Linked DNA regions of Anolis sagrei. The main gene of each other region encodes a partner of the protein of the gene in region 2 in a complex. Links are inferred from orthologs where the notes say so. Each region holds a gene or a part of one and is shown on either strand. Other genes may lie near its edges.

What was found.
Region 1: the proteins of BBS4 (region 2) and BBIP1 are in contact, whole or in part, in a cryo-EM structure (PDB 6VBV), measured with the Bos taurus proteins. The link is inferred for Anolis sagrei from reciprocal best matches to the Homo sapiens genes BBS4 and BBIP1. Residues at the interface, in NP_001069424.1 of Bos taurus: Leu210, Leu213, Tyr236, Leu240, Ala241, Ser244, Gln247, Thr248, Ser269, Pro271, Asn274, Asn275, Met278, Phe281, Gly282, Lys284, Tyr298, Leu299, Pro301, Leu302, Asp303, Trp304, Lys305, Ile306, Tyr308, Asn309, Leu312, Leu315, Thr316, Gln318; in XP_003587939.1 of Bos taurus: Met7, Phe8, Arg9, Glu10, Val11, Leu12, Pro13, Lys14, Gln15, Gly16, Gln17, Leu18, Tyr19, Val20, Glu21, Asp22, Leu28, Lys30, Pro31.

Annotation. Positions count from the first base shown.
Region 1 is NC_090023.1:209,394,176-209,410,500, reverse strand, and holds BBIP1 (BBSome-interacting protein 1), read right to left. Parts: upstream 8,917-16,325; 5' UTR 8,714-8,916; intron 7,407-8,713; 5' UTR 7,388-7,406; coding exon 7,348-7,387; intron 5,414-7,347; coding exon 5,250-5,413; 3' UTR 5,128-5,249; downstream 1-5,127.
Region 2 is NC_090029.1:31,600,607-31,616,867, reverse strand, and holds the start of BBS4 (Bardet-Biedl syndrome 4 protein), read left to right. Parts: upstream 1-9,338; 5' UTR 9,339-9,392; coding exon 9,393-9,401; intron 9,402-15,055; coding exon 15,056-15,107; intron 15,108-16,261.

The DNA.
Region 1 (16,325 bases), on a different chromosome or scaffold from region 2:
AAAGCACTTTTAATTTTGTTGTATCATAAGGTTGCACAATTGCTACATGGATGAACCATTGCTAGAGTAAACAGATGTATCCCAGAGCTTGACTGTATGTATAGTTGAGCAATAATTGTTGCCCCCCCCCCCCCCCCCCCGTTGGCGTTAGCAGAGTATCGCAGAAACTCAGAATAATGGACTCTGGAGTTTCTGGTAAAAGCAGGTTTTTTGCTTTACTTAAGCAGCTCAAAATAGACAACATACACCATCAGCGGACAGACATGAAGAACACAATCCGAAAGAGACAGGAACAAATACAAACTGCAGCTGGAAGGAAGTTTATCTCTGGCACTCCCTAATCTTTCACAGAGCAAGAACTCAGGGTCACATTCTCACAGCTTGTTACTTTGCTGTTGTGTGTCAAAATGCATCCTGGCAATACAATTCTATTACAGTCACAATCCTATCACATAAAATTACATTTAAACACACATCATACATGACACACTGACAATTCCCCCTCTTTAAATGTAATTTTCTGTCCTTACTATATACACATTATCTTAACCACAATAAAATCTTAACCTCTATAAGTAACATTCATTTGTTTTCTTAACTCTATTTATAACATCATTTATCAAACTAGACAACAGTATAGAGCAATCTCTTATCACAATCCATACGCACAGGGAATACAGAATACAATCTTATAAACGACTATACACAAACACATCTTCTGCAAAAAACACATCTTCAAAACGTCACTTTTACATTCTTTGAACAATATGATTACCATTCACAGTTATCATCATCAGTATAGTCTTTTCCTACTGGGATTCTGTGGAATTTACCTGGCTTGGACAAATAAGGAATGAGCATATATTTTGTTTCTTCTCTCTTCCCTGCACTTACTTGTTCCAACTGAACTTCTTGTTCCTCCTGCTTTACCTGTCTGTTGTTTTTGCTGTTTTATTCTTGGGTGAACTTTTACTAGGCGTTAAACTTTCTGTTTTCACTGACTGCTGTTGCTTCACTTCATCACAAGGTATCACTCTGCTTTCTTCACTTACAGTTCTCTCACTAGCTTCAGGTCTCTCTTCTTTCTATCCCTAAGTCTAGAACGTGGTGAAGGAACATTTGACACTTCCTCAATGTCTGACAACAATACCTCTTCAATACCCACATTTGTGTCTCTAGTCTCATCATCTTTATTATCAAATTGAACAAACACTTCTTTATTACAGTGTATCCTTTCCCATCCACTATGCGTTTCAAAATTAGCACTTCTGGAAAGAATTATTCTTCCATTTCCTGCATAAAAACGATACTTATTTCCTTCATAACCAGTAAACCGTAACTTTTGACATTTTTGTTGACCCTTCCTTCTTTGTTGGGCTGGAATAAGTACATATGCAAATTGCCCAAAAATTCTTAAATGTTTTAGATTGGGTGGCTTACCATACAGGGCAAAGAATGGAGTCTGATTTATTGCTGAACACCACACTCTATTCAATACATAGTTAGCAGTATGGAGTGCTTCTCCCCATAGATTACTGGGTGCCTCAGCATCTTTCAACATACACTCCTCATGCTATTAATAATACCTATGCGTCTTTCTGCTAGTCCATTCTCAGCTGGAGTATATGGGTTGGTAGTCTTATGTTGAATACCAGTTTCTGCAAGCCATTCTTGAAAAACATTACTACAAAATTCTCCACCTCCATCTGTGACTAAAGAAGCCACCTTGTGAGGAAAAGTCCTCTCAATCATCTGCACCCATTGTTTGAATACTGAGAAGGCATCACTCTTATTCTTTAAATTATACACAAATCCATACCTAGTGAATCTATCCACTATAACAAAGAAATACTTAGCTCCTCCTTCACTTTCTGGAAAAGGTCCAGCCAAATCAGCATGGACAACCTCAAAAGGCCAACTAGCCTTCATTTTACTTCTTTTTACTAGAAGGTATACTTCGATATTTGCTTGTTTACATATAGCACAGTCCAAAAACTTATCACACTTGAGCATCTTTAACTCAGGACATACATTAGCTAATTTTTCTAGACCACGAAAACTTACATGTCCCATCACTCTGTGAAAGAAATGTGCACATGAGTTATGCAAAGGTACATTCAAGTCCTTATTCGCATATTCAGCACAGTTCATATCACTTTCACCATCACCTTCATTCAGATCATTGTCTATAGCATCTCCTGTGGCTGCCATCATCGCTCTAGCTTCAGCAAAGTCCGGTGCTCCACCACCACGGCGTCCTCCTCTGCTGAAGCCCCCTCTGGCGCGGCTGCCTCTGGGTTGATTTCTCCTTGCCTTGAAGTCTCTGGCCAAATGTCCTGGTTCCTTGCAGGCATAACATCTCCTTTCAGCCTTTACTGTTCGCACGCTGGCAGGAACAGTCTCCGTTTGTGTTGACTCCCCCTCATTCCTGCAGCCTTCATGCTGTTTTCCCTCAAACAATCGTCTGCCTTCTTCTTCCAGGATTCTCGAACAGACTAAATCCAACGTGAGATCCTGGGCTCTCACAGTTTGTTGCGAAAATAATAAATGGTCCCATCCATCATTAAGTGAAGACATCAAAATATAACTTAGATTCTTGTTGCTGATATCGACACCTCTGGTTTGGCATTCCAAGAACAGCTCTTTCATCTTTTTCACATGTGCTCTTACATCTCCACCTTCCTCCAGTTTGGCACAATACAATCTCTTAGTCCATATCATTTTACCAAGTGTGCTCTCTCTCAAATGTACAGTGCGGAGAGCATCCCAAGCTTCCTTGGCAGTTTGCAGACCTCGCACATGAACCAGTTGATCGGGCATCAAACAAAGGATCAGGCTTGCCAGCCCTTTCTGATTTTTCTCTGGGTCAACTTCTGTGCCTAAAATAGTCCTTTGCAAGCCATCTCTCGCAAGCAGATGCTGCATAAACACAGACCATTGCTTATAATTATGGTCACTCAGTCTCTCAATCATTGGCATTGGATTAGAAGCAGCCATTCTCACCACAGGAGACCCTCGCGATCTGAGTTCAAGCCCAGCCGCTGATTCACACCGTCAGTGGATTCTGGCAGTCTCCCCTCTGGTTTCCAACTTTATGGCTTTACGGCTTCACACTTTCCGATCATCAATCTCTGGGTCCAGCGCGCCCCGTTCACAACTCTGCTTACTCCCAGAATCAGTCTTTCGAAGACACTCACCAGCTCTTGGTGAAAACAGGCTCCAGTCACCAGTCCAAACCACACAGCTTCGATCACAGCCTCCAACCTGGTCAGCAGCTCTGCAGGTCAGCTGGTCCAGGTTAACAAGCCCGGTCAGTGTGGGCCCATAACCTATTGTTGGCGTTAGCAGAGTATCGCAGAAGCTCGGAATAATGGACTCTGGAGTCTCCAGTAAAAGCAGGTTTTTTGCTTTACTTAAGCAGCTCAAAATAGACAACATACACCATCAGTGGACAGACGTGAAGAACACAAACCGAAAGAGATAGGAACAAATACAAACTGCAGCTGGAAGGAAGTTTATCTCTGGCACTCCCTAATCTTTCACAGAGCAAGAACTCAGGGTCACATTCTCACAGCTTATTACTTTGCTGTTTAACCCTTCTGTGTCAAAATACATCCTGGCAATACAATTCTATTACAATCACAATCCTATCACATAAAATTACATTTAAACACACATCATACATGAATTACACACTGACATCCCCCCCCCCCCCCATTATTAGTAGACTGGAAGCAAACTAGCACCTAGGGGTAAACCCAGCTTTCAAATCTTAATTAACACGCATTACTGCAGACCTGGCATTATTGTGTCTTTAAATCCAAAAGGGAAAGTATAGAGGACATTTTCATACAAGGTTGCAGGCATTAATGCTGCTAAGATATTGATGTTATGACAGGATCAAGTAATACCCAGTATTGGCTGCTCCTTTTAATATGGATGCATTCACTCTTGCATTAAACACTATGCTCTGAAGAACCCTTGACTGGCAGGAGTGAGCCACAGGAATCAGTCCCTGAATGGCATCTGAAATCATTGTTTTAAACAACTTACACACTTTTAAACGCTTCCGGCCCAGCTCACCTGTTCGAATGTATCTCCCTCTATGACCCACCTCGGAGGCTAAGATCGTCAGGGGAGGCCCTGCTCTTGATCCCACTTCCTCATGGGGACGAATGACAGGGCCTTCTCAGTGGTGGCCTCTTGTCTATGGAACTCCCTCCCCAGTGAAATTAGATACCCCCCCCCCCCCCAATCTGGCCTTCAGAAATAAACTAAAAACATGGCGCTGGGATCAGGCTTTTGGTCAATAATGGGAGCAGTGCAATAAGAAGCTATAACTTAATTGAATGACGATCCAGGCTGGCCCTAGAATATGTCCTGGATTTTGTGATTTTAATTGCTATTTTAATATGTTTTATTTAGTTGGTTTTATTGTTTTTGTTTATTCATTGATGTATGTGTTTATGCGACATTGACTTGTTGCCTGTGTAAGGCCACCTTGAATCCCCTTCGGGGTTGAGAAAGGCGGAATACAAGTATGGTAAATAAATAAATTTTATATATGGTATATCCCTTGTATTCATGGGGGATACATATCTGAATTTACTGTGAAAACAGAAAACCACTAGTAATAGAAAACCCTATTGCAGTGAACAAATTCCACCAGAAGTAACTTAGAGCCACGCTGCAGAGCCTAGAAAATGCCTAGAGGACATATTTTGGTGGATGTGAGTAGATGAGTCCTTGGATACAGGGACTGTATCATACCTAAAAGGTATGCATTTCATGTGTTACACATTCTATAGATAGGAAAGAGCCAATGTTGCAAAATGGTATGAGCATTAGGCTAACATCATGGTGCTGAAATCCCTACTCAGTCATGGAAACCCTCCAGGCAACAAATCTTTCCAAGGAAATCCCATGATGGGGTTCATCTTAGGGCTGCCTTAAATCAAACAGTTTGAAGGCACAAAACATCCAACGGGGAAAAAAGCCTGGCATCACATTTTCTGCAAATGTACTCAAAAGAACAAAGAGATTTTACTGATGTTATTTATAAATGGCAATCTGAACAAAGTTCAATAACAGAAGGTAGAATTAGAAACAATCACAGAACTCCAAAAGGAGGACATCAAATGCCATTTTAATCAAGATATTTTAAAATATTTACAGGGTTGCAATCAGCAAACAATCTATCATAATGGTGAATAAAGAATTGCTATATACATTATTCTTTATTTTTCCTATTACTCTATTGATTTTGAACTCTGCTGGGCAAGCTCTTGCTGCCTAATTGTTTCCTGTGCTTCACGCTGCATCTTCTCAAGCTTTTCCAGCGTAACTGATTTTAAGGGGAGCAGCTTTGGCTTACACAATACCATTGTAGTCACATCTTCTACTGCTAACATTCCTAGAATGAGGGGGGAAAGATAAACAATGAAATTCACATAGTCTTCTAGATTACATAGCCTGGTTCAGACAGTATAGAATCCATGGTTGTAATTGGCAAACTTACTAGCTCCTGGGCAGGATAGAGAACATAGAAGTCTCCACCAAATATTCCTTAAATAAGCAGTAATTTAAAACGGAGGGCAGGTATATTTACTCCTGTAGAATGGCTTCACATGTATTTTCAGAGGCATATACAGGGTATTTCAAAATGATGGACCTAAGTTTAAAGCAATATTTTTCATGGTGTTATAATTACACGAAAAGTTTATACAAAAAGTTTCAAAAAGTTTAATGAGTTATCAAGTTTTACTATGCATTTTGAGCCAAAAACAAATCTAAAAACAATAAAAATCCACCACAAATGTTAAGTATTTTTGTTAGACCTTATGTTGTGGAGTCACCATCTTGCAAATGACTGAGCCCTGTTTATGTGCTGGGAGAGGCATTTAGCAGTAATCCTTTGAAATTCAATACCCCACTTCTTCAAGTGGCACAGTTTCATTCATGGTTTGTGGTTGCAGCGATACAGTATTGCAAATTGGGCCCATTATTTTGAAACAATCTGTATATCATAACAATGAGCGATGAGCTAAAATCTATTTCCAGAAGGAAATGTTGATTATTCCTAAGTATAATGCATTATAGATGCTGCATTATAGATGCTGGTCAAGACTCAAAGGCAACATATAGCCTGCTTCCAATGGGAACAATGAGAACAGAAAGATAGCTTTGCTGAGAAGAATATTACTTTGTACAGAAGTAATATTCTTTTCAGCAAAGAATAGTAAGGAGACGCTGATGATTTATGCTTTTATTGGTTTTGTATGGGTTTTTATTTTATATGCTAAATGTTTTAAATTCTATTTTATGTGTTGGGGATATTGAATTGTTGCCAACTGTAAACCACCTTGAGTTGCCTTTGGGCTGAGAAAGGCGATATATAAATACGGTAAATAAATAAACAATATTCTTATGGTTAAAGATAAATGTCCAATTCAAAAAAGTAGAGTTGCACACAGCATTAAAGAACAAAAAATAAACATTTTATTGTTGTAAAGGGAAGCACAGCCATCCCTCCATATTTGCTGTTTTGATTATTCACAATTTTGATTAAAAATGTTCTCACTAGGTCCAATGTGCTGGTCAACTTTCTTCAGTTATGTTGGAGGACCTTGGGATAGAAAGCTTCTTTTGGAATAATTGGAACCTCCAATTATATTCTATGGAAGTTGAACATAGAATCTTACAGCCGGAAGATCTAGAAATTCCTAAAGAAGTATTCCTTTCGGGGGGGGGGGGGGGGAGAGATGCAATTTATTTCACAAGGATCCTGGGCCCTTAATCCTAGTTAATGTGGAGTCCTGAGCAACATTAGGAATTATTTTCTCTCTGAGATAATATCACAAACCAAATGGGTGGAAAGGGATACTATGAGATAAGGTGCCTGATCCTGTGCAACACACATTCATCTAAAGCAGTGGTTCTCAACCTGGGTCCCCAGATGTTTTTGGCCTACAACTCCCAGAAATCCTAACAGCTGATAAACTGGCTGAGATTTCTGGGAGTTGTAGGCCAAAAACATCTGGGCATCCCAGGTTGAGAACCACTGATCTAAAGATTGGCAACCATGTATTGTGTTTTATCTGTGACATGTGTTTATTTATTCATGCCAATTTTATCCTGCCTTTCCCCACTCAAGGGCCCAAAGTGACTAACAGCATTTATAAAATACACACAATATAAACATTGAAATAATACATAATGAAACCAAATATTCAATAGTGCTGAAAAATGTTAAAATCTATGTATTAATATAAAACTAAAAGTCCTAAAACAAGGGTTCCTAAAAGGCTTTGGTAAAGTTGTGGTATCGTGCTGGGAAGGGTCACTCACCTTGCTTGGGCAACACCTCGCGGAATTTTGGTTCAGACATTGTTTGGCCTCAATCTGCACTGAATGAGAAATTGCCAGAAGACTATTAATATGCTGCCCCCTCCATCATACCTTCCAGATCCAGAATCAATACACTAATTCAATCAATTCACTTAGTAAAGAAACTCCCCAAGGTGTGTATGAGGCCCCTTCCACCGGGACTGTGGCATAGCTAAGTGTCATCTGCATTAAGATCACTTCTGACCAAAAGGTCATGAGTTCGAAGCCAACCCGGGTCGGAGTGAGCTTCTGACCAATTGTGTAGCTTGTTGTCGACCTTTGCAACCCAAAAGATAGTTGCATCTGTCAAGTAGGAAAATTAGGTACCACCTATGTGTGGGGAGGCTAATTTAACTAATTTACAAGGCCATTAAAAAAGATGCCAGCAAAGCACTCTAGCAAAAGCATGCGGGGAATGCGGAAGTACTTCATCAGTGTCGCAGATGGACGATGAAAGCGATAGCTCCCCTGGTGGCCAGAAAAGTTAAATAGCCTCTGACTGTCTGTCTATATCTGTTGTGTGTCTTTGGCATTGAATTTTTGCAATATTGTACATTGTAATCCGCCCTGAGTCCCCTGCGGGGTGGAAAGGGCGGACTATAAATACTGTAAATAAATAATAAATAAAATCCGATATTATCTGCTTTGAACTGGAATATATGGCAGTGTGGACTCAGATCACCCAGTTCAAAGCAAATATTGTGGGATTTTCTGCCTTGATATTCTGTGTGGAAAGGCCCCGAGAGGTCTCCTAAACTAGGAGATTAAAAAAAACTTTATCAAAAGAGCCAAGAGAACTCGGGAAGAATAGAAACATTGCCTTTTAATGTGTGTGGGGGGTGGGTAGATTGATGAAATAACATACAATGAAATACAGCATGATACTGTATTGAAATACTGTGTAAATACGATAACACTAATCTAGATTAAAAGGAAAGAATCTGGAATTGTGGGGTTTGAAGTCCAAAACACCTGGAGGGGCGAAGTTTGCACATGCCTGGCCTAAAGGAACCAGATCCTTTCTAGTCTTAGAAGCTAAGAAGGGTGAGCCCTGGTTGGTACGTGGATGGGAGACCACCAATAGGTGGTATTTCAGAAGGAGAAACTGGCCATTTCCTTGCCTATGAAATCCTTATGGCAGGCATCCTCAAACTGCGGCCCTTCAACTTCCAGAATTCCTGACAATTGAACAAGCTCGTTAGGGCTTCTGGGAGTTGGAGGCCCAAACAGCTGGAGGGCCGCAGTTTGAAGATGCCTGCCTTATAGGGTCGTCATAAGTTCAGGAACACACGAGGCCAGCCAGGGCCTTCCAGTCTTCTCTACTTACAAGTTTAGAGCAGCCAAACACCGACGAACCCGCTTCTAATTCGCCCTTCGCGCGGCCTAGGATCAACAAGGCTCTTTCCTCGCGCATTGCCATGGCAACGCCGCCACAGGGTCAAAGTAAAACACGGAAGGACTTCTCCGCCCCAGACTTCAAGAGGCACTTCCGGCTTCCGGGCGACTCCGCTGAGTGCTGGGCTTCGAAGGGCACCATAGAGAGGCACAGATAGAGCGCCCCTCTTCGCTCCAATCGGGGCTCCTTCCCTGCAGAGGACGTCAAATAGCCAAGCGCATGCGCAGTACCTGCACGGCTCTTGTCTTCCTAGTTTAGGACTGCTGCCCAGCCGTGCTGCCATCTCCAGGCGCGTTGTCCATGTTGACGCTATCCTCATTCTGGGATTAACGTTGTTTTTGTAGCTGCCACAAACTATGGCCCCTTCCACACAGCTGAATAAAATCCCACATTATCTGCTTTGAACTGGGTGATATGCCAGTGTGGACTTGGACAACCCACCTCAAAGCAAATATTGTGGATTATCTGCCTTGATATTCTGGGTGGAAGGGCCCTGTAAGAGCTGTTTAGCAGTGGAACTCTCTGCCTTAGAGTTTGGTGGAAGCTCCTTCCCTGGAGGCTTTTAAAAGAAGCTGGATGGCCATCTGTCAGGAGTGCTTTCATTGTGCTTTTCCTGCATGGCAGGGGGTTGGACTGGATGGCCCATGTGGTTTCTTCCAACTTTAATTTGTTAGTCCTGTTTTAATACTAACTCTCAGGCAACCAGAAACTACATTTATATGCCATCAAACAATCCCCTTGGGTGCTGGTTAACTGAGACTACAGTATTTTGCAGGTTTGGTGCAGAGGAAGGTTGTGCGCTTTGCACATACAGTTGATTTTACTATACTTTTTGAATGTTACCTGTACAGTCCTTAGCTTAGGTAAAGGTAAAGCTTTTCCCCTGACATTAGGTCCAGTCGTGTCCGACTCTGGGGGTTGGCGCTCATCTCCATTTCTAAGCCGAAGAGGCGGCGCGGTCCATAGACACCTCCAAGTTCATGTGGGCAGCATGACTGCATGAAGCGCCGTTACCTTCCCGCCAGAGTGGTACCTATTGATCTATTAACATTTGCATGTTTTCAAACTGCTAGGTTGGCAGGAGCTTGGACTGATAGCGGGAGCTCACACTGCTCCCCGGATTTGAACTTGTGACCTTTAGGTCAACAAGTTCAGCAGCTCAGTGCTTTAACTCACTGCACCACTGGGAACTCCAGTCCTTAGCTTAGTGGGCCACAATCCTCTTGACACATGTAGTAAAAATACTTTTGCGTCTTCTGTACCCAGCACTGCTGAGGCACTCTGCTTGGACTTGATTTCTTTTTGAAAGAAGGGTTGTTGCACATTTAAAGAGAAGTACAAACCAGTCTTGCTAACACATAAACTGCCCTACTTAAGATCCCAGAGAGAGGCATTTTGCCATGCCAGAGGGGCATTCCAGAGTTCAGATCTAATGTCTTTATCTTTCTCTGCCTCGGCTCAAAAGTTACTTCATTCGATCCTTTGTGTACACCTGTGTTACATCATTCTTGGCTAAGAGGAGGAGGCTGACAGGGCGCCTTTCAGGACCAGGGTCATGGAGGTATGTCTTTCCTCAACAATAGGTGTGGGTTGGGTTGGCTGGGCAGGTTTCACAGGTAAGGAGCTTTTAGTATTCCTTTCCAACCTCATTAACCTCTTTCTGTGGAAGTTCCTGATCATCCTCTCACAACTTGCTTTGTTGCTTTGGAAGTCTATGGCTGAATTAGATAAGGAAACAAGTTAATCTGCTCAGAAAAAAACAAAACAGTTTACTGGCTGCCTTTAGTGAGCCAAGCTTAAATCCAATTCATTCCAATCCACAGTAATACTTCCAGCATTTGCCGAACCGGTCTCTAATCCATGAAAACTCATGTCACAATAAATTTGTTGGGTCTTGAAAGTGGCAGAAGATTCTTTATTGCATTTTTCTTGACATATCCAAAACAATGGCTAATGGTGTATCTATGGGCCCTTCCACACAGCCCTATATCCCAGAATATCAAGGCAGAAAATTCCACAATATCTGCTTTGAATTGGATGATCCGAGTCCACACTCGGATAATGTGGGATTTTCTGACTTGATATTCTGAGATATAGGGCTGTGTGTAAGGGCCCTATGTTGTTGAATTAATGCAGTCTGACCGCACTTCAAATATCATGGCTCAATGCAATTGAATCATGGGAGCTGTAATTTCATGATGCCTTTAGTCTTCTCTGCCAATGAATACTGGTACCTCATCAAACTACAACTCTTTTGATTCCATAATATTGAGCCATGGCAGTTAAAGTGATATCAAACTACATTCATTCTACTATGTAGATGCACGCTTGGATTCCATATGTTTATTTCGTTGTCTATTTTGCTCCTTTTAAGGAGAGACAATTTCAGGCAGGTTTTCCATTGTATTAATTTAATGGCAAACTTGCCCGAAATTGGACTAACTTGGTTTCCTAATTGGACTAACTTGGATTCAAGTGAACTGAAGACGGATAAATGCACTACACATAAAAAAATTATGACAATGATCTCGAAGTGGCATATAGCCTGTTCTTGTGTTCATTTGCTTCATAGTCTAAGACTCTATATGAAACAACAACTTGTGCTTTTGAGTACATATATAGGACCGTGCTGTTGTTGTATATGATGGGAGTTTGGGTATATCTGCACTGTAGAATGAATGCAGTTTGACACCAATTGAACTGTCATGGCTCAATGGTCTGAAATCATGGGGGCTGTAGTTTGATGAGCCCTCTTTGGCAAACACTCAGAGAACAGGGGAATTCCAGACAAACCTTCAAACAAAGGATTCCTCCAGGCAGCAATCAACTAGACTTTGAAGTTGCAAGGCCATTAAATGCTAACCAAGGTAGCCTATTGCAACATTCACACTTGTCTCAAACAAACAAGAGTTCTTTATCCTACCCTGGACATTCCACAGAGATATAAACCTCACTTGCCTAGTTTCCAACAAACCTCACAACCTTTGAGGATGTCTGCCATAGATGTGGGTGAAACGTCAGGAGAGAATGCTTCTGGAACATGACCATCCAGCCTGAAAAACTCACAGCAACTCAATGATTCTGGCCACGAAAGCCTTTGAGAATACATTGAGGCTAAAGACCTTGTAAAACTACAAGTGGTATCAAACTCCATTAATTCTACAGTGTAGCAACATCCTTTTTTAAATAAATGCTTGCCTAGATTGCAGGTCAAGGCTTAGAATGCCTCAGGTATGATTAAGCAGCAAGTATTCACTACTGATCAATCATATTTATCCATCAGTGTACTGCACAATTCCTTCATTAGGTCTACCCTTTATTGATCTGGTGAGATCTCAACTATTGGAACCAGTAACCTATACTGCTTTGGATTATCAATGTGCATTTAACATTTCATAAAACAGTTTGACTCCAACAGGGATTTTAATTCATAGAGATACTAGCTAAACACAGCCAAGCTTTGCTGTGGTTCAGTCTAATAGGAAATGAATGTGAAAGCAAATAAAAGTATTGTTGCGAACATAGGTTCACTGAGGAAACACATCATTCAATTCAATACCCTGCTTTGCTTTGCTGTGTCTATGTGGAATGAAAGCAAAGAAAAAGAGGGGTTTAAAAAAAACAAACAGAAATTTTTATTGTAAAGCTAGTGGATTGACTACATTTTTGGTTTGTTCTTTTTCTGCATAAACATAAAGGTCAGACAGTTTTCTGAGTCTGGACCATGTAATGTATACTTGCAATGAGAGAAACAATTGTTTTTTAAATTCAAACTGTACACTTGCAAAGATTGCCTCTGCACTTCATTGATAGCCATAGTGAACGCAAGGCATATTGGAAATTGAAGTTGTTTGAACTCAAACGCCATGTCTATCAGAATGAGTGGTATTCGTGGAAGTAGTATTTCTTCACCTTTATGAGGACCATTCAGAATTGTTGCTTCAATTAGATTGTTCATCAATTTATTATCTACTAATTGTGTGCCATTGCATAACTTTGGCCAAGGTACTGCAAATCCCATCATCGGTGGTCCATCCTCCCCCTATATATTTTCTATCCAAACATACAGCAATAATGACCAATCCCATTTCCAGTCCTATTTCCAGTCCCTTTTCTTCCCTGAGAGTTCTATTTCTGCAAGCTTGTTTTAGAGGCATCTATTTTTATCTCTCAAATGTTTTTATAAATCTCCAACAACAAAGTAACTGAAGAGAGAAATAGTTTTATTTCCAGTCTTCTGTTGTTTTATGACTCTATTTACAACTTGGCCCATCAACCAACTTCATCAGCTGCGGGAAGAGAAGATGAGGATTTCAGAAGTTTATCATGAGTAATGTGTTCTTTAGTTAGTTCTTTGTCATTTTTTTCCTTTAAGAACAATTGCTCTGCAGCTCTTCCTAAATTAAGTTATATGGTCCTTAATCTCCACAGTGCCTCAAGGGATTTTGATGCTTAAGAAGAGAATATCTAAATGCCTCGTATCTCATAGTACAAGTATAATGAATAAAATAATTGAATTGCTGCCCTTTAATAGCACTTCATGTTTTTTTGTGGGCTGTGAAAGCTATCTCATGTCCTCACTGGCAGTCACCTGTGTTCTTGTTTTGTGTTACTGTTCGGCTATTAAGTTAAAGAAAATGAATTTTACTAAAAATGCTTGCCTGGAAATGACAAATGCCAGCACTCTAGGCAAAGGGTGAGGCTAAGTTTTGTTTCCTGCCTTTGTGCAGTTCATTCCGAACAAGTTTTAAGTTGGGTGTCACAAGAAAAATTAAACAAGGCGTGCCAACACCCAGTTCTTGTGAGGTTGAAAAATCCTCTGGTCATATGTTGCTGTGGTTATATTGGTACAGACTTTCTGAAACTTCCTTTTTGCACAGGGAAAACAATGTTTTGATTATATAACAGGAGATCGTATCTTCCAAGGATGCCCATGAACACTCATTCATTGGAATTTTCCCAGCAACTAAAAACATAAAAATATGTTTGGCCTTATTCTCAGGTTGACAATTTATTTTGTCTAGAATCTACATGCTGTGAGAGCATATAGGCTTGTTTCCCATGTAGATGTGGTGTCTCTAAGGACTGAACTCACCCAGCAGAAATAAATGCACACTGAATGTGCAAGCAACATACCTGACTTGAAATCAGCAGACCAATAGCTGAACGTGAGTCAACAATGTGATGCAGCAGTTTAAAAAAACCAATGCAATTTCTAGGGTGCATCAATAGGAGTATAGTACTGAGGGAAGTCATGGTGCCCCTCTATTCTGCTTTGGTCAGACCTCACCTGTAATTCTGTGTCCAATTCTGGGCATCACAATTCATAATGGATGTTGACAAACTGGAACGGGTCCAGAGAAGGGCAACCAAAATGATCAAAGGTTTGGGAGCCAAGCCCTATGAGAAGCGTCTTAGGGAGCTGGGTATGTTTACTTTGGAGAAAAGAAGGCTGAGAGGGGACATGATAAACATGTTTAAATATTTGAAAGGATGTCATATTGAGGAAGGAACAGGCTTGTTTTCTTCTGCTCTGGAGACTAAGACACCGAGCAATGGATTCAAATTTCAGGAAAAGAATTCCACCTGAAGGAATATCTTTTCCTGGAAGAACTCCCTAGTACTAAGAGCTGTGCGACTGTGGAATATGCTGCCTTGCAGCATGGTGGAGTCTCCTCTGGAGGTTTTGAAGCAGAGGCTGGCTGGCCATCTGTCGGGGGTGCTTTGATTGTATGTTCCTGGATGGCAGGAGGCTGGACTGGGTGGTTTCTGTGGTCTCTTCCAACTCTGTGATTCTATGATTCAGGGCCTCCTTCTTTTGACATCAGTTTGAGCCAATGGCGTTCCTCTTTCCTGAGACTGGAGGAGTAACCTACATCTTCCATACCCTAATATGCATTTGGTTTATTAGTCTTTGCCAACTTGAAGCTACAACTACCTCTTGTCCTTTAGAAAAACGTAGCTATGGAACCAAGTGTTTGGAGAGTAGTTACAGCGCAAGATGCAGCTACGAAGTTAACGTGATTGGAACTGATTTTGGACTATGATTTCAGGACTATGTGCTATGTTTTAAACTGCTTATTTAAGTGTATATGTTACTGTTTTATGATTATAATGAATAACGTATTTTGTATGTTTTTATGTCTTAATGTGGCATTGAATTATTGCCAATTTGGAAGCAGCTCTGAGTCTTCTTTGGGGTTGAGATAGAGCGGAGTAAAATACAATAAGTAAATAAAATAAAATAATTTCTGATTCTGACTAGTGCTGATGGAGGTTGCAGTCCAAACATCTGGAAAATACCAGGTTGGCTGCAGCAGATGTTTGAGAAAGTAATCCAGTAAATTCTGATTATGTGAGAATTAAATCTGACAAAAGTCTGCCATTCCCTTGTTCATTTTAACTTGTACTCTCACATTAAGCCTGTCTATATGCCAAACTGTCAACCTTTGAGAAAAATAGCAATTGGTAACTGTGAAATGAAGGCGGATGGTTACTATCATTTCTTTCAAAGGGGCTGAAATAGATTGGATTCTAAAATGTTTCTTACTTGGGAGAAATGTATCCATATCCGCAGATATAAAGTGCAAAGAGACAAATTGTAAAAACTTTCTGATTTGGAATCTGCTTTTAGGCAGAAACAAAGCACCCCTGATGTAAATAAATATTTGTGACAAGGTGTGTGTGTGAGTGAGAGATTAATAGAATAAGGCATTTTAAATGTCAAATTTGAAAAGGCACTTTCTTTTTTCCTCTCTAAATAGGAAGGCTTCAGCCATCTGTAGCATGCCGTAAATTATGGAGGCACATGGAAAGTATTTGCTGGAAAGGCATTGAGCAGAGCAGGACTTGAGCAATTTTATCAGTTCACAAATCCTTTTCTTCTTCAGATCCGTTGCAGCTGGGTACTTCCTTCCTATGACAAATTAAAGTTCTGTTAACTTCCACGGATTTTAACGTGTACAAAGTACTCCAGTTTAGCAATCTCATGCTGATTTCCATATTGGCTTCATTTGGTTCCTGCAGCAGCAATTATGGTTTGGATAATGCACTGAAAATTTGCCAAAGCACAGAGGTCCATGTGTTTGCGAAAATTCCCTGCTCATTACATAGGCATCCATTGTGTTCAGTTTTTCTAACCTTAAAACCCATTCCTAATTTTGTTTTATACAATGGCATTATTCTTCTACAAACATACAAATCATGTGAAGACCCATGAGCTTTTACAGATACATTTGACCAAGTATTCCAAGGTATCTTGTTCAAGGTGACAAAAGGGCCATCTGCAGTGTTTAATGCAGTTTTAAACTGCTATTTGAAGAAAGCAGTGCTGTGTGGTGCCTATGAATAAATAGGAAATCCTGGAACCAGTTTGAGGCCCAGATAGTGATTACACAAACGACAGAGCACAGGTGTACATTAAGGGCTTTCTTTTGCATGCTTTTGTGGGAGTTTGTTGTCTGATCACTGCAGCTTGAAGCTACCTCTGAACTACATTAAATGGTCAAAACAGATAGGGCCAAAGTCCCAATTAAACTACACA
Region 2 (16,261 bases):
AGAGGGTCTACCCTAGCAAACTTTTTGTATTGTTACCCCAATACCCCCATGCATATGAGATATATTGAGCATGGTGATCAGATCATGATATGAATAAACATAACAGTTTAAATAATGTACCACTATGGCCTTCTCGCGGACCACCATGACAATTTTGGGGGAGGGGGCTGAAGCCCCCCAAGCCCCCCAAGCCCCCCCCCCCCCGGCTACATGCCTGGCTACCAGTATTAAAAAAAATCTCTAAAATTACAACAGCACAACAAAAGAGAGGAAACAAACAAGGACATCTAATCACCTCTCAACAAAAGTTTGCTCTAGGCAATGGTCAGGCCATTATATGCTAATCAAGGTGGTCAGCTGAAACATTCACACCTAGCTCCAGCAGATAAGAGCCCTTTGTCTCATCCTGGTCATTCCACAGATATATAAACCCATTTTCCTAGTTCCAACAGACCTCACTACCTATGAGGATGCTTGCCATAGATGCAGACGAAACATCAGGAGAGAATGCCTCTAGCCCAAAAAAACCTACAACATCCCAGGACTTCTTTATTTATCATATCAGAAGCATGTATAAAATGTAAAAAAAAATGTATAACATCACAAAGGACTACCACTTCACCCACCTCATAGGAAACCTGCTACAAAACAGGAGCTTTTTGGTTGAGTTCCAGGGCCAAAGAAGCAGATGGCGGAAACAGAAGAACGACCCCAAACCCCACTAATGTTCGTGCCAAGTTTGGTCCAGATACATCATTGTTTGAGTTCATAGTGCTCTCTGGATGTTTGGTCCAAACAATGATGGATCTGGACCAAATTTGGCACGAATTCTCAATATGCCCAAATGTAAACACTAGTAGGGTTTGGGGGAAATAGACCTTGACATTTGGGAGTTGTAGTTGCTGGGATTTATAGTTCACCTACAATCAAAGAGCATTCTGATCTCCACCTATGATGGAATCGAACTAAATTTGGCACACAGAATTCCCATGACCAACAGAAAATACCAGAAGAGTTTGGTGGGCATTGACCTTGAGTTTTGGAGTTGTAGTTCACCTAGATTCAGAGAGCACTGTGGACTCAAATAATAATTGATCTGGACCAAACTTGGCATGAATGCTCAATATGCCCAAATGTGAACACTGGTGGAGTTTGGGAAAACAGACCTTGACATTTGGATGTTGTAGTTGCTGGGATTTATAGTTCCACCTCCAATCAAAGAGCATTCTGAACCCCACCAACGATGGAATTGAGCCAAAATTGGAACACAGAACTCCCATGACCAACAGAAAATACTAGAAGGGTTGGTGGGCATTGACCTTGAGTTTTGGAATTGTAGTTCACCTACATCTAGAGAGCACTGTGGACTCAAAAAATGATGGATCTGGACCATCTGGACCATTGTTCCTTAATGTGAACAATGGTGGAGTTTGGGGAAAATAGACCTTGACATTTGGGAGTTGCAGTTGCTGGGATTTATAGTTCACCTACAATCAAAGAGCATTCTGAACCCCATCTACGATGGAATTGAACCAAACTTTTCATACAGAGACCCCTATGCCCAACAGAAAATCCTGTGTTTTCTGATGGTCTTTGGCAACCCCTCTGACACCCCCCTCACGACCCCCAGGTTGAGAAACACTGTTGTAGGGACTCAGGGTGGTTTACAACAAATATCGGCAAACATTCAATGCCATTAAGTACTAGGCAAAATAATAATAATAATAACAACAACAACAACAACAACAACAACAACACCAAAGCACCCAAATCCCACAAACCAAATCGACATCTTCAAGAATAATACAAAATTGGGCGATGAAAACAAAACTACAAATTCACAGCTAAATTAAAAACAAAAACAAACAAGGAACAAATATATCAAGTTCAAAGGTATAAAATTAATTAAAATTTATGGGTTTGAAAGCTTGCAGAGATAAAATGACAGATTATTTCCCTTCCAGGGTGACTATACGTGATTATGGAGGCAAGCAGGAGTATCCCAAGCCTCAAATTTTGAATTTCTCATTCCTTTTAACCAATATATAACTCAATGGAGTTCTAAAACAGCATCTAATGTGTGCAATATATTGATTTAATGTATTTAATTGAATGTATCTTCCACATTCATCATTATACGAATTAGTCATTGGAAAGAGCTCACACTCCAAAGGGATAATTTGCAGGCATGGGCCCTCCAAGTGTTTTGGACTACAACTCCCACAATTCCTTAAGCGGCTGAGGGGGGAAAGGAAGGGGCCTGAGGCTGTTAGGAATTATGGGAGTTGGAGTCCATAAACACCTAATTGAATGTATCTTCCACATTCATCATTATACGAATTAGTCATTGGAAAGAGCTCACACCCCAAAGGGATAATTTGCAGGCATGGGCCCTCCAAGTGTTTTGGACTACAACTCCCACAATTCCTTAAGCAGCTGTGGGGGGAAAGGAAGGGGTCTCAGGCTGTTAGGAATTATGGGAGTTGGTGTCCATAAACACCTAATTGAATGTATCTTCCACATTCATCATTATACGAATTAGTCATTGGAAAGAGCTCACACCCCAAAGGGATAATTTGCAGGCATGGGCCCTCCAAGTGTTTTGGACTACAACTCCCACAATTCCTTAAGCGGCTGAGGGGGGAAAGGAATGGGCCTGAGGCTGTTAGGAATTATGGGAGTTGGAGTCCACAAACACCTGGAGGGCCCAAGTTTGCCCATGCCTGATTTAGGATATTCCCAGTTGTGAAGAAATAAAACGCTGCGAGTGATGTACAATTGGAAGCCATTTTTGTCTGCCTCGGACATATTTCCATCGTTTCGATTCCAATGTCTCCTCACGACAATGGCTTCCAAACAACCCATTTCTCCCTTCATTTTTTGAGTTTCTCCCTCATTTCTTTCCAAGAGTCTCCAGTAGATTATGTCTTGATTCCTCCATTTTCTCTCTTCTTCTTCATACGGCTTTGTTAATACCTTTTGAGAGGAGATGTGGACGGATACAAAATGGACGCCGTCCCTCTAGAATTCTCCACAGAAACCAATTGCTTTGGGACAAATTAGGCCTCTGCAATGAGCCATTGAAGCCCCTTGTATAAAATCCACATCGAATTAGATTATTTGTCAGTCTGGACTCAGATAATCCAGTTCAGAGCCGATATTATGGATTATCTGTGTTAATATTCTGGATTATATGGCTGTGTGGAAGGGCCCTGTGAAGCACATTTGTTTGGGAGTTGTAGTTGCTGGGATTTATAGTTCACCTACAATCAAAGAGCATTCTGAACTCCATCAATGATGGAATTGAACCAAACTTGGCACACAGAACTCCCATGACGAACATAAAATACTGGAAGGGTTTGGTGGGCATTGACCTTGAGTTTGGGAGTTGTAGTTCACCTACACCCAGAAAGCACTGTGGACTCAAACAATGATGGATCTGGACCAAACTTGGCATGAATACTCAATACGCCCAAATATGAACACAGATGGAGGAAATGGACCTTGACATTTGGGAAGGGTTTGCTGGGCATTGACCTTGAGTTTGGGAGTTGTAGTTCACCTACACCCAGAAAGCACTGTGGACTCAAACAATGATGGATCTGGACCAAATTTGGCATGAATACTCACTACACCCAAATATGAACACAGATGGAGGAAATGGACCTTGACATTTGGGAAGGGTTTGGTGGGCATTGACCTTGAGTTTGGGAGTTGTAGTTCACCTACACCCAGAAAGCACTGTGGACTCAAACAATGATGGATCTGGACCAAACTTGGCATGAATACTCAATACGCCCAAATATGAACACAGATGGAGGAAATGGACCTTGACATTTGGGAAGGGTTTGCTGGGCATTGAACTTGAGTTTGGGAGTTGTAGTTCACCTACACCCAGAAAGCACTGTGGACTCAAACAATGATGGATCTGAACCAAACTTGACATGAATACTCAATACGCCCAAATATGAACACAGATGGAGGAAATGGACCTTGACATTTGGAAAGGGTTTGCTGGGCATTGACCTTGAGTTTGAGAGTTGTAGTTCACCTACACCCAGACAGCACTGTGGACTCAAACAATGATGAATCTGGACCAAACTTGGCATGAATACTCAATACGCCCAAATATGAACACAGATGGAAGAAATGGACCTTGATATTTGGGAAGGGTTTGCTTGGCATTGACCTTGAGTTTGGGAGTTGTAGTTCACCTACACCCAGACAGCACTGTGGACTCAAACAATTATGGATCTGGACGAAACTTGGCATGAATACTCAATACGCCCAAATATGAACACAGATGGAGGAAATGGACCTTGACATTTGGGAAGGGTTTGCTGGGCATTGACCTTGAGTTTGGGAGTTGTAGTTCACCTACACCCAGAGAGCACTGTGGACTCAAACAATGATGGATCTGGACCAAACTTGGCATGAATACTCAATACGCCCAAATATGAACACAGATGGAGGAAATGGACCTTGACATTTGGGAGTTGTAGGTTTTTTTTGTTTTGTTTTTTTGTTTTTGGTTGTGTCTGGAGCAACCGCTCCTGTTGTGAGAGAATTGGCCGTCTGCAAGGACGTTGCCCAGGGGATGCCTGGATGATTTTTGATGTTTTATCATCCTTGTGGGAGGCTTCTCTCATGTCCCTGCATGAGGAGCTGGAGCTAATAGAGGGAGCTCATCCGCCTTTCCCCGGATTCGAACCTGCGACCTGTCGGTCTTCAGTCCTGTCGGCCCAGTGCTTTAACCCACTGCGCCACGGGGAGTTGTAGTCACTGGGATTCACAGTTCACCTACAATCAAAGAGCATTCTGAACCCCACGAACGACAGAATTGGGGCAAACTTCCCACACAGAACCCATCATAACAACAGAAAATACTTAAGGCCATCCAGTCCAACTCCCTTCACCAGGGCAAGAAAACGTAATCAAAGTCCTCCTGACAAAGAGCCATCCAGACATAGATAGAGATAGAGAGATAGAGAGATAGAGAGATAGAGAGATAGAGAGATAGAGAGATAGAGAGATAGATAGATAGATAGATAGATAGATAGGGAGTTGTAGTTGCTGGGATTTATAGTTCACCTACGATCAAATAGCATGATAGAATTGAACCAACCGGGGCATACTGGACTCCCATGACCAACAGAAAACACTAGAAGGGTTTGGTGGGCATTGACCTTGAGTTTGGGAGTTGTAGTTCACCTACATCCAGAGACTACCATGGACTCAAACAATGATGGATCTGGACCAAACTTGGCATGAATACTCAATATGCCCAAATATAAACACAGATGGAGTTTGGGGGAAATATACCATGACATTTGGGAGTTGTAGTTACTGGGATTTATAGTTCACCTACAATCAAAGAGCATTCTGAACCCCACAAACGACAGAATTGGGGCAAACTTCCCGCACAGAACCCCCATGACCAACAGATAATACTTAAGGCCATCCAATCCAACTCCCTTCATCAGGGCAAGAAAACGTAATCAAAGTCCTCCTGACAAAGAGCCATCCAGACATAGAGATAGATAGATAGATAGAGAGTTGTAGTTGCTCGGATTTATAGTTTACCTACAATCAAAGAGAATTCTGAACTCCACCAATGATGGAATTGAACCAAACGTGGCACACAGGACTTCCATGACGAACAGAAACCACTAGAAGGGTTTTGTGGGTATTGATGTTGAGTTTGGGAGTTGTAGTTCACCTACATCCAGAGACTACCATGGACTCAAACAATGATGGATCTGGACCAAACTTGGGACAAATATTCCATATGCAAAAATATGAACACAGATGGAGTTTGGGGGAAATAGACCTTGACATTTGGATGTTGTAGTTACTGGGATTTATAGTTCACCTACAATCAAAGAGCGTTCTGAACCCCACCAGTGACAGAATTGGGACAAACTTCCCACACTGAACCCCCATGACCAACAGAAAATACTTAAGGCCATCCAGTCCAACTCCCTTCACCAGGGCAAGAAAACACAATCAAAGCCCTCCTGACAAAGAGCCATCCAGCCATAGATATAGATAGATCGAGATGATTCACACACACACACATAGTATCATAGATTTGAAAGGGATTCCTAAAGAAGGACAATTATATGTTGCATGTTCCAGAGTGGGTAAACCAGGCAATCTCTACATCAACACTGGCAAAGAAGTACTTGCAACTACAGGGGAGGAGGATAAAGATTTGAACTTCGTTGAAGTCTGTTCCATGGGTTAACATCACATAGGAATGTGGCCACTGGCTGCTGTCTCGCGTTATTACACGGTGTTTAAAAACAGTTTGCAAACCATGGTTTGTAAAAGTCTGCAAAATGAGGATTTCAAGTCATGGTTCAAACTTTGGATTGTTAATTTGGATTGTTAATACACAAACTGTTGACGTCTCACTGTTAGGCCAATGCTGGCCTAACAGTGAGAGGTTAGGGGTTGTTGCACCACTGTGATGGAAGCGGAACTACTTAGGTGAGAAGATGGGAAATAAAAATAGACAAGTAGCTAAAACATAGTTGTTTTTCATGTATGACAAAAAGCTCAAAACATGTAATAGGTTTGTAATTGTTCTTGTTACAACCACATTTGAGATGTAAGAGCTAAACTATCTTAGTATGCTCTGTATCACCAAAAGGCAAAATCCATATAATTCACCTTAGCTAAAAGCTAAGCTAAGCTAAAAGTTAAGCTAACCTAAAAGATAAGCTAAGCTAAAAGCTAAGCTAAGAGCTAAGCAAAAAGCTAAGCGCTAAGCTAAGCTAAGCTAAAAGCTATGCTAAAAACTAACCTAAGTGAAAAGCTAAGCGAAAAGTTAAGTGAAAAGCTGAGCTAAGCTAAGGTAAGCGCTAAGCTAAAAGGTAAGTTAAAAGCTAAGCTAATCTAAATGCTAAGCCAAGCGAAAAGCTAAGGTAAACTAGACTAAGCGAAAAGCTAAGCGAAAAGCTGAGGTAAGCTAAGCGAAAAGCTAAGCGAAAAGCTAAGCGAAAAGCTAAGCGAAAAGCTAAGCGAAAAGCTAAGCGAAAAGCTAAGCGAAAAGCTAAGCGAAAAGCTAAGCGAAAAGCTAAGCGAAAAGCTAAGCGAAAAGCTAAGCTAAAAGCTAAGCTAAAAGCTATGCTAAGCTAAAAGATAAGCCAAGCTAAAAGCTAAGGTAAGCTAAGTTAAGTGAAAAGCTAAGCCAAAAGCTAAGCAAAAAGATGAGCTAAGTTGAGCTAAGCTAAGCTAAGTGCTAAGCTAAAAGGAAAGCTAAAAGGTAAGCTAAAAAGCTAAGCTAAACTAAACTAAGCTAAGGAAAGCTAAGCTAAACTAAGCTAAGGGCCTAAGCTAAGCTTACATATTTTGTGTTAAATCTTGAAACTCTCCCAATTTCCTATTCTCAAGTAGACGGATTTCGTAAGACTGACCTTGGTTGAGATAGGTCAGGGTTTTTTTTCATGAAGTTTCACAGCAGGCGATATAGCTGCAAAAAAGCTCATATTGAAATGGAGGGAGCTTGGTGTCATTCTCAGGGGAAAGGTGAGGCTCTTCTTGTTTAAAGATCGGCAGTGCGAGGACATCACGCAAGTAGCTGCCTGTGGAGTGCTGGTTGTAATGCTCCAGCTAAGCTGAGCTAAGCTAAGGGCCTAAGCTAAGCTAAGGGCCTAAACTAAGCGAAGCTAAGGGCTTAAACTAAACTAAGCTAAGGGCCTAAAATAAACAAAGCTAAGCCAAGCCAAGCTAAGGGGCCAAGCCAAGCCAAGCCAAGCTAAGGGGCCAAGCTAAGGGACCAAGCCCAAGCCCCAAGCCAAGCCATGAATATGTCTCCCTTGCGCCTTGCCGTGCCTTGTGCCGCATTGCGCCGCCTTTCGCCGCCTTGCGCGCCTCACCTCGCCTCGGAAAGCATCCGATGAGAGATCCAATACAACAGCCAGCAGAGTGATCTTGTCTTTTTGTGTTTCTAATAAATAATAATAATAAACCAGTAAAGGTGGTCCCAGTGGTGATCGGCACACTGGGTGCAGTGTCTAAAGACCTTGGCCTGCACTTAAACACAATCAGCGCTGACAAAATTACAGTCTGCCAGCTGCAGAAGGCCACCTTACTGGGATCTGCACGCATTATTCTCCGATACATCACACAGTCCTAGACACTTGGGAAGTGTCCGACGTGTGTCCCATACAACAGCCAGCAGAGTGTCTGCTGTGGACTCATCTTGTTGTGTTTCAAATAATAATAATAATGATAATAATAATTTTATTTCTTAACCGCCTCTTCCCATGATTGATCCAACACTTCTTCATCTTCTAAGCAATCATAATATGACGATAATATACATATTTTGAGGTAGGTTGGATTGCAATTCCATATGACACATGCATTTCAAAGTATGGGCTGCATGTACACCGTAGAATTAATGCAGTTTGGTGGCACTTTAATTGCAATGGCTCAGTGCTATGGGATCATAGTATGGGCTGCATCTACACTAAAATTAATGCAGTTTGCACTTTGATTGCAATGGCTCAATGCTATGGGATCCTAGTATGGGCTGCATCTACACTGTAGAATTAATGCAGTTTGACACCAATTTAAATGCAATGATTCAAAGCTATGGGATACTAGTATGGGCTGCATCTACACTGTAGAATTAGTACAGTTTGACACCAGTTTAATTGCAATGGTTCGATGCTATAGGATCCTAGTATAGGCTGCATCTACACTGTAGAATTAATGCAGTTTGACAACAATTTAAATGCAATGGTTCAAAGCTATGGGATACTAGTATGAGCTGCATCTACACTGTAGAATTAGTGCAGTTTGACAGCAGTTTAATTGCAATGGCCCAATGCTATGGGGTCACAGTATGGGCTGCATCTACACTGTAGAATTAATGCAGTTTGACACCAGTTTAATTGCAATGGCTCAATGCTATGGGCTCCTAGTCTAGCACTCAAAACCACATTAAAAATCTCGAAAACTAAGAATTAGTAGGGTCTAATTCTTAGATTTCGAGGTGAAAGGATTTAAAAAAAGCCAGGACACAAATATTTGGATTCCCCCCCCCCTTGGAATGGTACGGCCCACTGCGTTCGCTATCTCAAGTAAGCTTTGCTGGACGAGTCCAAGTGTCGAGCCACAAGGGGGGGGGGAGACGGGAAAGAAGAGGAGGTCGAGCTCTCCGCCGCTAGGCGTCTCTCTCTGAAACCCTCTCGCATCCCGGCAAGCCTTGCGACTCTGTCTATGGTAGGCTTCGAACCAATGACAGCGGAGGAGCAAAGCAGAGGCGGGGCAAGAGTGCGGCGGTTGCCGGGGCAACAAGATGCGCCGCGCGCGTTCCGTAGTTTCCGTCGGTTGCCGTGGCAACGGATAACTTCCTCGCGTCGCGCCGTTGAAGAGTCATGGCGGAGGTGAGTGAAGGCCGCAGTTCTCGGTTTTTGATGTATGCTTTTCTCTGCTGTCAGGCGAAGGCTCTTCTCTCTTCCTTTGTGGCCCAATTCCTCATTTCCCTATTTATCTTGTTGTTGTGGTTGTTGTTGTGGCTGTTATAGTGGTTGTGGTGGTTGTAGTGGTTGTAGTTGTTTTATAGTTCTGATTGTAATTGTTGTGGTTGTAGTTGTTTTGTAGTTGTTGTGGTTGTGGTGGTTGTGGTTGTTGTGGTTGTAGTTGTTTTGTTGTTGTGGTTGTAGTGGTTGTAGTGGTTGTAGTTGTTTTGTAGTTGTGTTGTGTGGTTGTGGTTGTTGTGGTTGTGGTTGTTTTGTAGTTGTGATTGTAATTGTTGTGGTTGTGGTTGTTGTGGTTGTAGTTGTTTTGTAGTTGTGTTGTTGTGTGGTTGTGGTTGTAATGGTTGTAGTTGTTTTGTAGTTGTTGTGATTGTAGTTGTTGTGGTTGTAGTTGTTTTGTAGTTGTTGGGTTGTGGTTGTAGTGGTGGTTGTGGTTGTAGTGGTTGTAGTTGTTTTGTAGTTGTTGTGATTGTAATTGTTGTGGTTGTAGTTGTTTTGTGGTTGTTGTGGTTGTGGTTGTGATGGTTGTGGTTGTAGTGGTTGTAGTTGTTTTGTAGTTGCGATTGTAATTGTGGTTGCAGTTGTTTTGTTGTTGTGGTTGTGGTTGTTGTGGTGGTTGTGGTAGTTGTGGTTGTAGTTGTTTTGTAGTTGTTGTGATTGTAATTGTGTAGTTGTTGTGGTTGTAGTTGTTTTGTAGTTGTTGTGGTTGTAATTGTTGTGGTTGTGGTTGTAATTGTTGTGGTTGTGGTTGTTGTGGTGATTGTGGTTGTAGTTGTGTCCCTTCAAGTTGTTTCAAAGTTATGGCTGCTCCAAGGCGGCCTTTTCCCAGGGTTTTCTTGGCAGGATTTGCTTTCCTCTGAGACTGAAGGTGTGTCTCTGGTCTAGATTGTAGAATTAACGCAGTTCGACACCGCTTCAACTGCAATGTCTCAGTGCTATGGAATATTGGGGTTTGCCTTTTGGTGAGGCTTCGGCCTTCTAGGTACCGCTCCGGCGGGAAGGTAACGGCGCTCCATGCAGTCAAGGCGGCCACATGACCATGGAGGTGTCTACGGACAATGGCGGCTCTTTGGCTTATATAATAATAATAATAATAATAATAATAATAATAATCTTTATTTATACCCCACTACCATCTTCCCAAAGGGGACTTCGGGCAGCTAACATGAGACCAAACCCAAAAATAATACAGCAAAGTTAGACACAGAATAACAGAAAAATTACATCACAACAAAATACATAAAGAAACAAAATAGAATAAACAGTGCAAATTAACACAATAAAAATCAAAAACAAAGGGCGGGCCAAATGAGCAAGATAAAATGTTAAAACATTGAAACCCTGGGTGAGGTAGGAATAGAAAAAAGTGTATTTAAGAGGAAGGAGGCCAAGAAGGAGGCTTAGAAATGGAGATGAGCACCAACCCCCAGAGTCGGACACGACTGGGCTTAATGTCAGGGGAAGCCTTTACCTTTACTCGGCCTTCTTGGGCACGGAAGTCATAGATCTTGGGGAACCACAACTCCCAGGATTCTATGGCATTTAAAGCGAGATTTTGATATTTTTCTACATTTATTTATTTATTTACGACATTTATATGCCACCCTTCTCACCCTGAAGGGGATTCAGAGCGGCTTACAAGATATATATACAGTATATTATATTATTAGTATAGCACAATATCAGTATTATATATTACTATATTGTACTATGCCATTATATTGTAATATTAATTATTATTATTATTATTATTATTATTATTATTATTATTATTTCCAGAATAGGAAAACTCCCAACAACCTGTCCCAGAAGCACTTTATTAGACTTTAAGATTGCTTGCACACTGCACTTACCCTAAAATCCGACATACCACCTGTCACATCAGCACTTTTAATCTGTACCTATTACATTTGGCCCGGCCCAGTTTTATTGTGTTTTGGTGTATTGTTTTATTTTTCTGTTGTTTTTGATATTGCTTTAATTGCTTTGATTTGCTCTGTGTTGTGTATTTGTTATGCTATGTTTTTGAGGCCTTGGCCTTTGTAAGCCGCATCGAGTCCTTCGGGAGATGCTAGTGGGGTACAAATAAAGTTAATAATAATAATTTTAATATTATTAGTAATATATAATTATACTTACTTACTTACTTACTTAGGCGATCCCTCGTTGTCCGAGTAGGATAGTCTTCCAAGATCAGTGTACAGGCTCCATAGATGACTGTGGAGTCCTATTCTTGACCCACATATTCTCCCGCAGTGAGGGCATTGGTTTCCAGGTGGAAAATGGTCCCAGTCAGGGTTGGCTTGATGTACCTTCCTCTTGGCCCTCAATTTGTGCCTCTCCAAATTCTACAGCAAATTCACAGCTGACCTCCAGCTGGAGCGCTCAAGGGCCAGGGCTTCCCAATTCTCATTATAATATAGTATTGTATTGTATTACATTATAACATTATAAATATTATTTGTATATACAGTATATTATATTATTAGTGTAGCACAGGAGACAAGGTGGAACTGGCTTCCTGGCCCCCTCTCTCTTCACTCTGTCCCATAAGGTTTTTTTTTTTGAGTTCCCAAAATATATATTTCCTGTCCAATTGAAGCATTCACACCTGCCTCCAACAGGCAAGAGTTCTTTCCCCGCCCTGGACATTCCAGAGATATATAAATCCCATTTTCCTAGTTTCCAACAGACCTCACAACCTCTGAGGATGCCTGCCATAGATGCAGGTGAAATGTCAGGAGAGAATGCTTCTAGAACATGGCCATAGAAGAGGAGAAGAAGAAGAACTTTATTTTTCTACCGCGCCTCCATCTCCCCAAGGGGACTCGAGGCGGCTTACATGGGGCCAAGCCCAAGGCAACATACAATTAAAAACGGAATAGTAGCACATTAAAACACAATAAAACAGCGTAGACAATAATAAACAAGCATAAAAAGCAACAACAGACTCATTTTTGGAGGGGGGGGGAGGGGGCCAATAAATAAAAACTAGTTAAAGGATAGGGTGGTCAGTAAGGTGGATAGAAATGTATAGTAGCATAGAAATAATGGCATAGAAATAGAGCAGTTAAACAGGATCAATTTAGCTTAACTTAAGAAAACTTGTGTAGCCGTTTTCTCCTGTAAGTTCTACTTCTAGGAAGAAGTGACAACAACTTTGTTGCCCATTGAAAACTTCCACATGCTGTCAACAGTTATCATTATCTGCAGGGGTGGATAGCAGGTCCAAATTAATTTACTTGTGTTGCTAATAACAGATGCAGTGTAGACAGCTGGTTTACTTTCTGATCCCTTCTTTGTCCATGTAAGCTGTATCTTGTAGATGTTCTCTCAGTGGAAGACCAAAACGATCAGGGGTATGAATCTTCTCATGAAAGCCATTGTAGTATAGTAGTAAGATCCAAGAAGACAAGGGTTTGAATCCGTCGATCAGCCGTCAAAACCCACTGGGTGATCTTGGGCAAGTCACATTCTCTCGACCTCAGAGGAAGCAAAGGCAAAGCCATTCTGTTAAAATCTTGCCTAGAAAACCCCATGATAGGATCCCCTTAGAATCACCAAAAGTCAGAAATTATTTGTAGACATGCGACAGCAACAAATAATGTGTTTCTCGATAGCTAACTACACAGAGAGTGATACAAGTCCTACTTTTCTCCAGGAGGCTATTTATTTATAGAATGTGATGTTGTAATGGCCACTGGCTTAGATGGGATTTAAAGGAGACTAGATAAATGCTGCTGTTACTAGCAGTGGTGGAGCCCCCGGTGGCACAGTGGGTTAAACCCCTGTGCCGGCAGGACTGAAGACTGACAGGTCGCAGGTTCGAATTCGGGGAGAAGCGGATGAGCTCCCTCTATCAGCTCCAGCTCCTCTTGCGGGGACATGAGAGAAGCCTTCCACAAGGATGATAAAAACATCAAATCATCCGGGCTTCGCCTGGGCAACGTCCTTGCAGACGGCCAATTCTCTCACACCAGAAGCGACTTGCAGCTTCTCAGGTTACTCCTGACATGACAAAAAAACAAAACAAAACAAAAAAACAACAACTAGCAGTGGTAACTAAAGGGGGTCTTCATGTCCACAATTATGAACAGTTGTGTGCTAGAAATTTCTGGAGACATCATGGTGGACACTCTATCAGTCAATAATGGCAAATGAAAGCAGAGACAACCAAGGAAACAGCATATCTAGTATTAAACAATCAGAACCTTGACCCTGAGCCATTCCATCTCAGCACACAGGCTTGTTAATAAAATACATTCAATTAATTTTTTTTAAAAAGAGATTTCAGTTCTTTGTTTTTAAGAGCACAGATGTCCACATTTTTTGTTAAAATGTAGCCTCCATTCTGTTGACCAGAGTTCCTCTCTTCTACTTGCCTTGACTTTTCTCGTTAAACAGGTAGAAATATTGTATCAGAGTCAAACACCGACTCTGATTTTAGCAATCGCATACTTAAACATGTCAATAAATCCAACCATTAGACTAGGGGTCCTCAAACTTTCTAAACAGAGGACCAGGTCACAGTCGGATTATAATTTGAAAAAAAAATGAATTAATTCCTATGCACACTGCACATATCTTATTTGTAGTGCAAAAAACACATTAAAACAATACAGTAATTAAAATGAAGAAGAATTTTAACAAATATAAACTTATTAGTATATCAGTGGGAAGTGTGGGCCAGCTTTTGGTTGATGAAATAGGGTTGTTGTTGTTGTTGTTGTTGTTGTTGTGTGCTTTCAAGTCATTTCAGACTTAGGTTGACCCTGAGCGAGGGATGGATAAATGACCTTGGGGGGCCGTATCCGGCCCTCAGATCTTAGTTTGAGGACTCCTGCATTAGACTTTGTATGGACTATTCCCCCCCCCCCCCCAAATGCAATTGTATACTGATTAAATCTTTAGATTTGAGTCATGTTTTCACTAAGATGGTACACTTGTATCTGGAACTAGATCTACACTGCCCTATAATCGGGATTATCAATCAGATAATCCACATTATCTGCTTTGAATGTGAATCTACACTGCCGCTCCGAGTCCCCTTCAGGGTGAGAAGAGTGGCAAATAAATGTCGTAAATAAATAAATAAATAAATACATAAATACATAAATACATAAATCAATAAATAAAATCTAGATCAAATCGGATAATCTGGATTTTATATGGCAGTGTAAATGCAGCCTGGGTTGTGCTACTTTAGAATCCAGTGGGAGGTCACATAGTTAAATGGCACTGACAAAAAATCCCTGTATTTAAAAATCTGGAATATCAGGGAGAAGAAACCTGGCCTAGCTAACTTTCAGTGAGGACTTCTTTTTGTCTTTTGTTTTTGAATAGAAGAGCACATTTTCTTGCTATGAAGTGAGAGGACAGAGGATTATTATGTTTTAAATAACATATTGTTGTCTTAATGGCTATGTGTCTTTTCTGGATGCATATCAGACATCAAGACTATCTGAATTCATCTAGCCTCTGCATGTGTTGCTGTCTGTCTACGTTGCAAAATAGCTCATTTTAGGATATTAATCCTTTTATTGCTTTTTAAACCATTTCAGACTGCATCTTTACCAGCAATCACAGAACATCCCAAAGCCCGCTCAGGAAGAGGTTGGTTCTATGTTTTTGTATTTTTCCACTCTGCCACTGGTACATCGGTTTGCAAAATGGTAGTAAAGACTTTCTGTATATATTTCAGATTTCAGTATTAATGTCGTGACCCAAAGAACACAGATTGTCTCAAACAGCAATTGAGATGTAAAATAATAGTCTTTTAATGAATAACAAACTTAATGAGGCACTTTAACATCAGTGAAGGCAGTTCAAAAGGTGTTTTCAGGCAAGAACATAAACAGTAGATAATCCGGATATCTAGCAGGCTTGAATAGCAGCCAAAAATAAACAGGAGATACAAGAGTTTGTAGCAAAATGCAAAGCAAAATAGTCTCTAAGAAATACAAGGTTCAGAGCAAGGTCCGATAGGCAAATACGTAGTCCAGTCAATTCCAAGGTCAGGTAGCCAGGCGTAACACTCACGAACGAAGATTCCAAGGTCCGAAGGAACACGGCAGGGAAACAGGATACTGGGAATCCAAGCAAGGTTAGGCAGAGTAACACCACATAACAACACTTTGTTGTCTGCAAAGAAACAGTTCCCAATGTGCACATTTTATTCACTATCAGAAGATTGGGATTCATTAGACTCATCTGATTCTCCTTGCGCAGCTGAAGCATCTAAGCCACGCCAAGTTTGCCACCTTTGTTCTAATGCCTGATCCTGCCAAGAAGATCCCTCATTCCAGTTATCCTGAAAACCCTCAAAATCATCGCTGGAGGTTGTTTGATTGCAAATGTCTCTAATGTTCTGAACCAGAGTCCAGTCTAAAGCCTCCTCCATCTCATCCTCACTGGCACTGGAATTATCTGCTGTGTCTTTAAGCCTCTTAGACATAGTGTCACTATCACTGCCAGACTCACTGGCCACTCTCTTTACTCCCCTGTAATCTGCTTCCATAGCTTCCTCTGGGCCGAATCCTGCAAAGTCTTCCGAATCACTGGAAGCCAGAAAGATGTCACGAATACGTTTCAGCTGACGCTGATTCTCCTCTGCTTCTGCATCACTTCTTCTTCTTCTCCTACTACTAGTAGTAGGTATGGTGCCAGAATGCTGAGTCTCAACAATTAATGCCAAAAATACGTAGTATAATTTTACATAGGATTTGTGCTACATTAGAACAGTAAATACACATAAGTAAAATAAATAT